Linked DNA regions of Nothobranchius furzeri. The protein of the gene in region 3 purifies or fractionates together with the protein of the main gene of each other region. This does not show direct contact. Links are inferred from orthologs where the notes say so. Each region holds a gene or a part of one and is shown on either strand. Other genes may lie near its edges.

Region 1 (4,127 bases), on a different chromosome or scaffold from region 3:
CGGCTGTCCAGGACCTCCAGATATCGGCAACAGAAAAACTCAAATCGGTCAATATCCAATAACTAACGCTATCATCTATTTGACGTTGTTTATATGTTGTCAGAAGTTTAAAACTGATGTGCGTTCTTTGCTGTTCCAGAGTCAGAAACAGATCGGCCTTACGCGGACAGATTATGTGCGTGCATTTGCTTGTGTGTTCCTGAATACTGTCGTGTGAATCTTTTCTCACCTTTCTCAACTCAACTGTCACTTCGTTTCGATGTCTTCTCATAGTCTGAAACGGGAGAAAATACAAAGAATGTGAACAAGATTATATAGTTTCACACTGGCATTTAAGTGTGATGGAAGTCTTACAAAACAACAAGAGATAAAAATGTAACATGTTACAATAAATGACCGTATCTTTGTGTTTGAGGTGAAAATCAACTCATTTTAGTCCAGGTGATGAGAAACTGTTTAATAGTTTTGCTGTATAAGTGCATCTGTTGGGTTTCTCGCTCATCCAGAGCATTTTGAGATGGTCTAAGATCTTGTGACTGTTAAAGAGGTTCATGTTGCCATCCTAAATAGCCTCTTACGTAACTTTGGGCTGTCATAACAGAGAAGCGGCTCCAGACCACTGCAAAACAATGATAATGCCAGGGGTACTGATCCGAACTAAACTGCTTCTTAAATACAGATGTGAATTATCACATGATTTCAGCAATGCTCACATTTCATCTGTCGAGCAAAAGATTTCAAAACTCTAATTAATGGAATACTTTTTCAATATTCAAAACTAAGATACTAAGTCTGGGTGTGGGACCTCATTCAGTTCAATAGGTGTTAAAAATGAAATGCACTCTTTTGCAGCTGACCTAAAACAAATTTGCTGTAGTCTGAGTCACCCACTTTCAAAAACCCAATTTCATGCCGAGGTTCTGAGAAGGACTGGGTCAGACTTCCAAGATGCCTGAAATAGCATCAGGAATGCACTTTGGCAGAGGCTCGATCCCAGTAGCCATGTGCTTGTCGAACACACACTTCCAGTTTCAAAACAACCAATACAGGCACCACTCTGATGGTGAAACTCCCGTCTGGTGAATTTGGAAAGGGCATTCTCAGACATACCTTTGTTTGTGGATTATCTTGGGATTACCGATAAATTAGAACAACACTAAAACAAGTATGTTTTTGTTAGTAATCCCCCCTGTGGCTGAGAGAAATGCCCTAAAAGAAAATTGTTTACATTTCACAGATAATTTGAACAAGTCCAGAGTAGATTAGTCATTTGATTTGAACATTTTTTAACCCAGAAATGATAGATTTGCTATTTTTTGTTTGTTTAAACTTGAAACAAATCCTTTACCAACTGCTTTGGCTACAGTGTCAATGAGCAATTTAGACAAATTCAGTGAAAGATGCAGCATTTTAGATATGCTAGTAGGTACACAAAATAAATCTAGTGTTTTCTAGAATGTGACTTACAATAAAACGGTAAACTACATTTAAATTTTTACAGAAATGCTGAGTTAGGGCATTTGTGATTCGACATAACCTTTTACTACAGGTTATAGTTAACAGAATGGCTAGCTTGTTATCCTTTGCTTTTGTGAGGAAAGTCACCTAATTTAATGGTGACTGAAAATACAAATATTTAAAGAAAAACAGATAGACACAACACTAGCTGCTCGGTTGGCAGGCTCGCGTTTGCATGCTAACGAGGAGGGGTGGCTAGGGTAAACGAGCACCCGTCACCGATCCACCCAAATCACACTTGTCCATATAATATTGATTATATGTGACGTTCTTTGGTTAGCATTTTTGTTTACAGTGGGGTGGCATAAAAAGATTGGAAATATCGCGATTTTGAAGCCGGGTAGGCCCCGCCTCGCTTGAGACCGGTGTCCATCAAACTAGCTAGCTAAAGTTAGCTAGTGTCGTGTCGAAAAAAGTACACCAGTCGCCAAAGAAACCCATCATGGGAAGCGTATTTAAGGACAGCTTGTTAGGATTACTTAAATTATCGTTACATTTAGACCTAAATTTGTAATATTCTTAACGTTCAGAAACGAGATAAGTTGCTTTAGTCACTGGGTAACGTCTATTTATGGCCAAGATTTTTTTAAACGTACATTATAGGGGGAAAAAAACAATGTACATTATGATGCATGATTTCGAAGACTTCCAGGGTAAAAAAAAAACTGCATCCTAGCAGCCTACCTCAACATAACTACTGCGAATACATCATTACAATCTAATTAACTGCATAGCTTTACAGAATAAACGATACTTGACTTATATGTGGAGAAAACGTGGTTAATTTAGTTAAGTAAAACAAACCATGGTTTAATTTATAACGCATTTCCGACTAGTGTGCTTTTAATGGCAGGGGTACCTTTTTCGTTAAAACACCGGCACTGACAGCTACATCGCCTGCCCTAATTCTCATAGTTCTAAAAGCCCAACTATGATCCAGCTTTCAGTCACAGTGGTTGCTGAGGTTTATGACTTATCCACGCTGAAGTCCATCACAGCTGTCGTCTTTAAGAGTTTAATTTTCATGTAATGAAATCTTTGATGGCGACCACCCTGTGGTAGCTTAGCTAACAGGCAGGCTGGGAAGTTTCAGCCGGGGCCAGGCTACCAAGCAAGGCCTGACGGTAGTCGGCTTTTCCCATCTACATTAAAATATTAAGATTAAAGACATTTAAACGCATATCCTCAAAAAGAGCTCACCTCGACATCACGTCCCTTATTTTTAAAGCTCTTGATGCGGTGGTTTTCCAAGCCGGCGTTGTCTGCCATGGCTGTACGGGGTTTGGATTTTACTCCGGCTGTCTGTATCTCCTCCGTGAAAGACGAGGCACGGCAGCTCCTGTGCTGCTGCGGCTGGGCTGGCTCCGGAGAGGAGGAGGAGATCGCAGAGTGGGGGGAGGAGTTACATCGGCTGTCCTGGTTTCCAACACCTGAGATCAAAGCAAGCAGATGAACTGGAAATTGATGCCATGGTGCCTAATAAATCTTTATTACAATAAAAAGTCGTTTGGTAGCTTTTTGGAAAGTGTGCACCCTTCTACGTTCTACATGACAGTGGATACTTCTCTCTTATTAGGAAATCCAAAAGAAAAGGGTTCAGCAATCAGTTTGTTACATTATGCATGAGTAGTGCTGGGCAACAAATCGAAAATGTATCATTATCAAAAATTCTGACTCTTATCGAGATCATTTTTCCCATGTTAAAAATTTGATAGTAAAAAAATGAAAAGATGTGTGTAAGTTGGCAACATTCATGTCCCTTTGAGTCACGTAAAAATTTGACTCAACGTCATACAAGTGAAAGCCCCATCTAGTGGACAACTTTTGTTTCTGTACATACCTGTAATTATCGTCCATTTATCGGTATCGAGGTAAAATCCTCGAAGTATCGTGATATTGATTTTAGGCCACATCGCCCTGGCACTCAGGTTGTGGAAAAGGACAACTGTGATTGGATTGCAGACTTTTAAAATATATTTTACAGCTGCCCTGGTCAAGGAGAGAGAACAGCTGGAAACAACGCTTCCACAAACACACAAAAAAACAATTAATTGTCAGAAATTAGAAAGGCATCAAACACATGGAGGTAATTTTGGCGGGGGGAGTGGGGGGGGGACAGGGAGACATGTCCCCCCTACTTTTTCCAAAGTCAAGTTTTGACCCCTGCACTTTTTACCTTCCAAAAACAATATTACGCTGTATTAAATTGACACTGGTTGAGCTCTAGGACCAAGCGGAAAACAACCATTTGTGTTGAAGCCTGTTTCCCATTAGAGCATACTGTAAAGATTCAATAAAACCCCTAAAATATTGTAATCTTTTTTTTTATTTCATCAATTTGAAAACGAGCTAAATTCCACAAACAGTATAGCTGCTGCCTCTTCCTGCACACAAACTCACCCTTTTTCAAAAGTTAAATTTGAACCCATCGTTTTCCCAATAAATTGGTAAGTTGGCACCTGATCAATGGTTTGTCCTTTTGTTCTGGTTGATGGAGTACTGATGGCTTTTCTGAAATCGTGTCCTTTGTTTTTCAGGTTGCAGATGTGTGTCTTAAAAGACTAAATGGCTGGACCGTGTCTGCTTGCATTTCTGAGCAGACCCACAAT
Region 2 (4,310 bases), on a different chromosome or scaffold from region 3:
CAGTCAACTTCAGGGTTCATTTCAAGATCCTGGTTCTGGTCTATAGGGCCTTACATGGACAAGCACCATCATACATTGGTGATCTTCTCCATCCCTACACCCCCAGCGGGTCCCTGAGGTCCAGTGACCAAAGCCTACTGGTTGTGCAACGCACCAGGCTAAACACCAAAGGTGACAGATAATTTGCTGCTGTGGCCCCCAGACTCTGGAACTCTCTCCCCCTGAGCCTAAGATTGGTGGACTCAGTGGTCTCCTTTAAAATACAGCTGAAATCTCACCTGTTCAAGCTAGCTTTTGCGTGACCTTCATCACCTCCCTCCCCTTATTCTGCTCTTATTCCACCTTTCCCAGGATCCATTAATGTCCCTCTTCCCTATTAAATGTTCTCTCTCCCTTTCCTTACATTTTTTTCTTTTCTCCTTTTAAACATATTTTTAATCATTTTTGAAATCTTTTTATACTTTAATTGTTTTTTTGTTTTTGTGAAGCACCTCGTGATTTTTATCTTGAGAGGCAGATAAAATATCATCAGATAGAATCAGATATAAAAATATCATTTTCAGCATGTGTTCAGTATTGTGCAATACTGGACGTACATTATCTGTGTCTCTTATGCTGCATATTTTTGGAAACCCAGTTGTCTATTTGTATTCATTGTTTTGAGGGTTGAATGTTACAAGAACAGGTTACTGCCTATGTGTTTACCTGTACTTTTGTTGTTTTCTTCTTCCTTGTCTAAAAGTGTATGTGCTGCAGTAACAAGGTTATTTCCCCAAAATGGGATTAATAGTCTATTCTAAATAGGGTGGGACCTCAGCTTCTCCAGATGTTTAGCACAGGTTGGAGGAGTCAGTGGCATACACAATGCCTCTGCCCTTTTAGTATTTGCTGTAAAATCCCAGTGTCAGTGTCCCAAACTCTTCAAGAGATTTGAAAAAAAAGTGAGAGGGCGATATCCTCTTTACTGGTACAATTGAAAAACTGTGGTAACGTTTGATCAAAATATATTTTATTAAAGGCAAATTATTGTTGGCGGTTGAAACGTTCGACGTGGCCCTAAAAACTGATTGAATATACCCTGGGTTATGCTAGAACCACGTGGTAGACGCGGTCGATGGTTTACGGCAGCTGACCAAAAGAAAACAGCTGCACGGAGTTGCATAAAGACGCATTGTCTTTGTGTCAACATTTAGAAAATTGCACTTTTTTGGCACTATCCGAAGACAAATCTTGGAAGTTAAACACACAGATAATCTCGGAAATGGTATTTTTAGATGAAATTTGCTCAGGTGTAGAGAAAAAAACAGTCTGTAAACGGCTCGTAGGCGAGGCGCGTGCACGAGGCAAATATGTCAATTTCCGATTGGTTGAAATGGTCATGTGGGCGGGCAGACGTCACAGCGCGGAGCTGGAGAGAAACCACTTCTGCGACCCGTCTGTCTTTCTAGTCCAATGTCCCACTGAGTAGACAGATCCACGTGCATGCAGCAGACATTTTGGTACTTGTCATCAAACCTTTAGATATTAGTGTTTCATTGAAACACACACATCAGAAGCAACCATGGTGAAGCTAGCAAAGGTAAGACGAATCTATATCACATCAAAATGTCCGCGCTGAGCCGTGCTTGAATTTTTTTTTTTTGGCGCACGAGGCCTTTGGCTTAAGGTGCTGCGTTTTTGGAAAAATAAAACCAGTCAAAGTTAGGAATGTGCGCGCATATGTTGCAGTGACAGCGCATTTTCACAACATTTTTAACAATCTAATCCTTCAAAAGTAGTTTTTCCCCCTAATATGTAAAGCATGCTGTATTTGGTCGACGTCTCTGGTTCTGGTTTTCCAGGCCTAGCTCGGCCTGCTAACGCTAGGCGAGTTTTCGTCGTGTTATTTGTCCGTTTCTCTTTTTAAGCGTTTGGGTTTTATTGTGATTAAAAAATTGAGCTTTTTTATTAAACTAAAGTGGGAAAGTAGAGTTTTGACGTTACTGGTAATACATTTGTAATAATGTAACATACGTTTAATCCTATTCCGTTTTAGCATTAGCACGTTGCACATTTTAAGTACGTGGTCCGCATCTTCTTTACACGTTTTTGAGTCGAATTCAAGGGTTTTGTTTTTCGTTATCTGTTGGAATCTTCGTGTCGAACGTTTGTTACCCAAAGCGGTTTGATTTTTGTTGTAGTTTTAGTCGTCTGTGGTGAAATGTAGCCCAGATGCTAGCCTTATGTTAGCTTCACGAGCTCCACGTGGGTGGGCGCACGCTATGAGTGACACACGCGGTGTTCAACCAAAACCGAGAAAGTAGTTTACTGTAAAGGCGGACGGATGTCACGATTGGTTAGTCAGTCTGCATTATTTGCGGTATTTATTTTTGTTTAACTTGGATGAACTTGAATTGATATACTTAAGCTTAACGGTTGAGCTGTAGATTCGTTTTGACTGTTGTGTAGTCTTTCTAGTTTTTATGGATTAACACTGGCTTTTTTTTTTCAGGCAGCAAGTCAACAAATTAAAAAGAAAAAAGCCCCCCCACCCCCCAAAAAAGTGGAAGAGGAATCTAGTGAAGAAGAAAGCAGTGAGGAGGAAGAGGTATAACACTTGCTTAGTTACTGATATCAGTTTGTTGAATTCAAATAACTGAACTTTCTTTCTTTTTAAAATCCAGACCCCTCCACCTAAAGTAGCAAAAAAAGCAGCAGGTAAAGCTTCCCCAGCAGTCAAAAATGGTACCCCTGCCAAAAAACAAGAAAGTTCTGATGAAGAGGATGATTCTGGTGAGCTGCACTAATAAAATTTAGGTTTTTCAGGTCCTATTGATGTCATAATAAAATAATTTTCAAGGGATATCCCCGTCAAACTCACACAATGTACTCTTATTTAGCCTACACATAACGAGCTGCTTAAGAAAGTTTATTTTAAATTATAAACCTAAATGCATAATTTATTAGTTGCATAATTGATTTTTTTCTAAAAGTTAAATTTTATTTGATTTGTGAAATTATCTCGTGGTCACCCACAGAGGAATCTGAGGAAGAGGCACCACCACCTAAAAAGACACCTGCAAAAGCAGCATCTGCAAAGACAGCTGCTAAAGCCACAGCAGTGAAAGCAGCGCCTGCCAAGGCTGAGCAGTCTGATGATGATGACGACGACGAAGATGACGATGATGGTATGTGGTGGTTTAGACTTTTTTTTTTTTTTTTGTTAACTTTGACTAAGTGAATAGTGAAGTGGCCCCACACCCTCCATTTCTTGGCATGCATGCAGTTGATTGGTACTCATGTGTGTAATGTACGGAGGAAAAGTAAAGGCAGCGCTATGTCTTCGGTGCCGGTGTGTTTTAATGTCTGCCGGTTCTATCCTCAAACGCTGTTACATTGCTTCATGTTTTGTTTTCTGCTCTATATGAATCTTACCTAGAAGTGAGGGTGAAAAATAACCCAATTTCAATGTTTCTTGTTCAGATGAATCTGAAGAGGAGGCCCCACCTCCCAAGAAAGCAGCAAAACCAGCAGCCAAGCCTCCTGCCAAAGCCCCAGCAAAGGCCAAACCTGCTCCAAAGGAGTCTTCTGATGATGATGACGACGATGATGAAGATGATTCAGAGGAGGAGGAGGCAGCTCCACCCCCAAAGAAGGCTACTCCAGCCAAAGCAGCTGCCGCTAAACCTGCGGCCAAAGCAGCTGCTAAATCTGCAGCTAAAGCACAGCCTGCTAAAGAGGAGTCTGACGATGAGGAGGACGATGAAGATGGTAAGCCTGATTCTCTATTGTTTTTAATTATTGACAAAGAAACTTTACGCTGGACCAGCTTTAACTGTGTGATGAAGAAAAAGGGACTTAATACTGATTGTGGTTGATGTCACTTTTTACATATCTGATGTTGGTCAAAGCTGCAATAGCAAATCTGCAAAACGGGCCAGCTTTTAAAAAGTCGCCGAACTCTCTTTCCCCGTCAGCTATCATAATTTTTAACTTCACAAACTATTTTTGTCTTCCTTTAAGAGGCACGAAAGTGTTTTAGACTAGTTAGTTTTGCAGATTTGCCATTGTAGATTTAAAAGGATCATGTGATCTAAAACATGGGGACAGGAAATGATGTCCAGATCTGATGTTTGTACTCCAGACTCTGAAGAAGAGGAGATGGACACCACTCCAGCTCCAGCAGCCACCAAGGCAAAGAAAGCAGGCATGGTCAAAGCCAAGGAGGAGTCAGAGGAGGAGGAAGATGATGATGATGATGATGACGACGAAGATGATGATGAGGAGGAGGATGAAGGTTAGTTTTGTGAAACTTTTCTTGTGTCTTAATA
Region 3 (3,648 bases):
TCTGTGGCAATGTAAATTTTAATCATAGTACGCGATTGTACTTTTTATATTTTACACATCCAAAATATTATCCAAGCAATATTTCAACGACTTTTCCAAAACTTTACAGAGGATATTATTTTTCATGAACTTTTCAAGGACCTAGAAATTGCATTTTCCATTTCCATAACTTTTCCAGGTTTTTCATGACCGTACGAACCCTGACTAGTGTTCTGTTATGCACAGCCCCTTTTTTCATGTCCTGCTGATGTTTCATATCTCACCTGGTGAACTCATGGGCCATGTCCTGAGAGAAGAGCCAGTTAGCGACGGCAGCACAGTCCACGATCTGGGTCCGGATCATTTTATCCACCAACACGGCGATCATCTGAAACCAAGAGGCCCAAACATTTAATTTCATTCAAATAAGTCATTTTTACAGCCAAACATCAGCAGTGTGGTGCTGTTAATGTGGTCTGGACCTGTGGGTGGTTCCTCCAAACTTCATACACCACTTTAAGGATGTGAAGCTTCCCGTCGTCACTGTCGGTCAGAGTTTTAAGAATCTCATGGAACCTAACAGCAGTAAAAACAACATCAGTCCTTTATTTATTTAAAGATTTCCAGAAATGTGTTTTACTAAATAAACCAAGTCAGAATTCTATACAGAAGACACAAAATGACACAAGAAGCCAGTAATGTCTAGGAGACCAGGCCCGGCGCTGGCCACAAGGCTAGCCCATCCTCTTATGGTAACAGTTGGACTGGGGGGGGTGTTTTTTTTTTTTTTTTTTTTTTTTGCTGAGGATCAGTGTCTAGATGGACTTTGTTCAACAGGCCCTAGCTTTAAAAGGGGTCCAATTCAGATTCCAGGTTCAGGGGCTCTTTTAAAGACAACAGAATGTAGTTAAAAGTTTTCAGCTTGTCCAAAATGCTGCAGCTAGAGTTCTGATGAGAATTAAAAAGAGAGATCACATCTCTCCTGTCTTAGCTTCCCTACATTGGCTACCTGTTAAATTCAGGATAGATTTTAAGATCCTTCTTCTCACATATAAAGCTCTTAATAATCAAGCTCCATCATACATCAGCGATCTGATTGTTCCATACGTTCCTAACCGAGCACTTCACTCTCAGACTGCAGGTCTACTGGTGGTTCCCAGAATATCTAAAAATAGGATGGGAGGCAGATCTTTTAGTTATCAGGCTCCTCTCCTGTGGAACCAGCTCCCAGCTTTAGTCCGTGAGGCAGACACCTTGTCTACTTTTAAGAATAGGATTAAAACATTTTTATTTGATAGGGCCTCTGGTTAAAATCTGATGTTAGCCTAAATCTGGACAAGTGGGGGAGTAGAAGGAGGTGGAGTGTACAGTCGGTAAAGACGGCTCTCCCTTGCCCTGCCTCCAACATGCCTACATCTAAATAGGATAGATTATCCAGAGTTAACTCTGTAGTTATGCTGCTATAGGCTTAGACTGCTGGAGGATACACTTTCCACACTTGACTACTTTCTTCTACAATCTGCTCTTTAACTGTATTATTTCCTGCAATTTCAGCTGTTAACTTTATTTTTTCTCTAAGTGTTTTTCTCCCCAGAAGAAGCTACAATGACGTTCTGCTGAACTGTGGTGGCCTCATGGAGGGGGCCATCGTCTAGCACACTGCTGCTAACCACTAATTCATTCTCCCTCTCCTGATAACATTTTACTTTCTTTGATGTTGAATGTGCTAATACTAGTTTACCTGTTGAATTATAGATTCACTAGGATAAATACACTAAAGTTTATCCCTCAGCAAATAGAATATTTACTAAGAAATCACAATATAACCATAGAAACATTACTTGGTATATATGGTGTGTGTGGATGTGTGTGTGTGGATGCGTGTGTCAGCTCTGTCTTCTCGATCCCCAGTGAGTCGCGGTGGATGGCTGCTCTGGAGGGTTCTTCCTGTTAAAAGGGAGTTTTCCTCTTCACTGTCGCTAAATGCTTGCTTAGTATGAAGATTGCATAAAGTCACTGACACTAGTCAGTGACTTTATGCAATTTGCTGGGTTCCTTATATAGGAAACTTTTCACTGATTGGCCTAATGAACTGACCTGTATTGGAATGTTTACTGTGTGAAGTGCCTTGAGACGACTCTTGTCGTGAATTGGTGCTATATATTTAAACTTGAATTGAATTGGAAAAAAAAAGAGGTTCTAACTCAGAAAATGGCTTGTCTGACCACCAGGATTTTTTAAACCCCCCTGCAGTTATTCTGGGACTCAGGGCAGGCAGATTTTAAACAAAATTAAAGCCCAAAACAGCTCAGGAGACCCTAGAACAGGGGTGCTCAATCCTAGACCAGTATCCAGCTTGTCTTTGTTTCCCTGCGCTAAACAGCACTGGCCCTGTGTTGGCAAAGTTGGTGATAGAAGCATAAAAAATTCAGAACATGTTGGTTAAAAACCCAACAGCAGCTATGGGTTGAACTTACTTGCCGAGGGCGCTGAAGGAGTGGCTGAAGGACTTAGCTGCCAGGTGGAGAAGGGTCTGCAGGAACACATCGATCTTCAGAGGGTTGAAGCTCTCCCCCTCATCTGAAAACAAATCAAACAGCAACAGAATTCATGAAAATATTCTACACCTATCTCTTGCATTAGCTTCTGACAGAAGTGAAAATCATGCATTAGCAACTCCACCACACAGCAGAACTCCTCCAGGCTTGTGTAAGTTGTGGAGATAAAACATCCACATTGCAAGTCAGTGGCAGAGTTGTGTTGTTCTTATCCAAACGAAGGAGAGATATCCAGAAATACGGAAATAAGACTCCAAATCTTGTCGTCTGAAGCTACTTTCAGTAGGCTGGGCTGCATGGTGGAACAGTGGTTAGCACTGTTGCCTCGCAGCACGAAGGTTGCAGGTTCGAAACTCGGCTGCAGCCTTTCTGCGTGGAGTTGCGTGTTCTCCCCATGCATGCGTGGGTTTCCTCCGGGTACTCCGGTTTCCCCCACAGATCACAACATGCCCTATAGGTCAGTGGTTCCCAACCTTTTTCCCAAGGGACCCCGTTTTTTACAAGTAAAATTTTTGACGACCCCCTCCCATTCTCTCAACCAGTACAAATAATATTAAGAAATGATAAAATTGTTCAAGCACATTTTAATATGCTTTGATTCAATAGATAACAGTAATTGTAGGCTCCAGTACAGAACAAAGTCATTAACAAAACCAAACAGAGCATAATGTGCTTGACAGTTTGTTTTACTTTTCTGAACACATTGTTTCTTGTAAACACTGATAAATCAATCATTCCTTTCAATAAACGTTTGACACATACACAATACACTGAGCAAAATGTACTTAAATGTGTATATTACTGTTTATACTAGATTATTTACTGTAAAGGCTGTGATTAATCAACCAGTCCCATCTTTAGTGAACTTTTGACACAGTGAGCTGAGCAAAATGTTCTTAAAAGTGTGTTACTTTTTCTGTACTAATTATTTCCTGTCTTAATATCAGTAAACTTTTCACTCATGAAAAAAAACGTGAGCAAAATGTAGGCTATAAACAAGTAATAAATGAAGTTTTAACCCCTTAAAAAGGAGAGGTCCTGGCGACCCACTGAGAGGATTTGGCGCCCCCTTGTGGGGGTTGGGACCCCCAGGTTAGGAACCACTGCTATA

The links. The genes of interacting proteins can lie anywhere in the genome.
Region 1: the proteins of nuclear cap-binding protein subunit 1 (region 3) and kpna3 purify together in Homo sapiens (co-immunoprecipitation; 3 studies listed by BioGRID and IntAct, with this or other methods). This does not show direct contact. The link is inferred for Nothobranchius furzeri from reciprocal best matches to the Homo sapiens genes NCBP1 and KPNA3.
Region 2: the proteins of nuclear cap-binding protein subunit 1 (region 3) and ncl fractionate together in Homo sapiens (co-fractionation; 3 studies listed by BioGRID and IntAct, with this or other methods). This does not show direct contact. The link is inferred for Nothobranchius furzeri from reciprocal best matches to the Homo sapiens genes NCBP1 and NCL.

What each region holds. Positions count from the first base shown.
Region 1 is NC_091754.1:26,747,605-26,751,731, forward strand, and holds the start of kpna3 (importin subunit alpha-4), read right to left. Parts: upstream 2,920-4,127; 5' UTR 2,788-2,919; coding exon 2,719-2,787; intron 275-2,718; coding exon 230-274; intron 1-229. UniProt on the Homo sapiens protein: Functions in nuclear protein import as an adapter protein for nuclear receptor KPNB1. Binds specifically and directly to substrates containing either a simple or bipartite NLS motif.
Region 2 is NC_091748.1:62,945,057-62,949,366, reverse strand, and holds the start of ncl (nucleolin), read left to right. Parts: upstream 1-1,391; 5' UTR 1,392-1,561; coding exon 1,562-1,579; intron 1,580-2,491; coding exon 2,492-2,587; intron 2,588-2,663; coding exon 2,664-2,772; intron 2,773-3,017; coding exon 3,018-3,167; intron 3,168-3,240; exon of another isoform or gene 3,241-3,378; intron 3,379-3,462; coding exon 3,463-3,750; intron 3,751-4,123; coding exon 4,124-4,276; intron 4,277-4,310. UniProt on the Homo sapiens protein: Nucleolin is the major nucleolar protein of growing eukaryotic cells. It is found associated with intranucleolar chromatin and pre-ribosomal particles. It induces chromatin decondensation by binding to histone H1.
Region 3 is NC_091741.1:71,540,361-71,544,008, forward strand, and holds part of nuclear cap-binding protein subunit 1, read right to left. Parts: intron 2,560-3,648; coding exon 2,457-2,559; intron 556-2,456; coding exon 462-555; intron 368-461; coding exon 264-367; intron 1-263. UniProt on the Homo sapiens protein: Component of the cap-binding complex (CBC), which binds cotranscriptionally to the 5'-cap of pre-mRNAs and is involved in various processes such as pre-mRNA splicing, translation regulation, nonsense-mediated mRNA decay, RNA-mediated gene silencing (RNAi) by microRNAs (miRNAs) and mRNA export.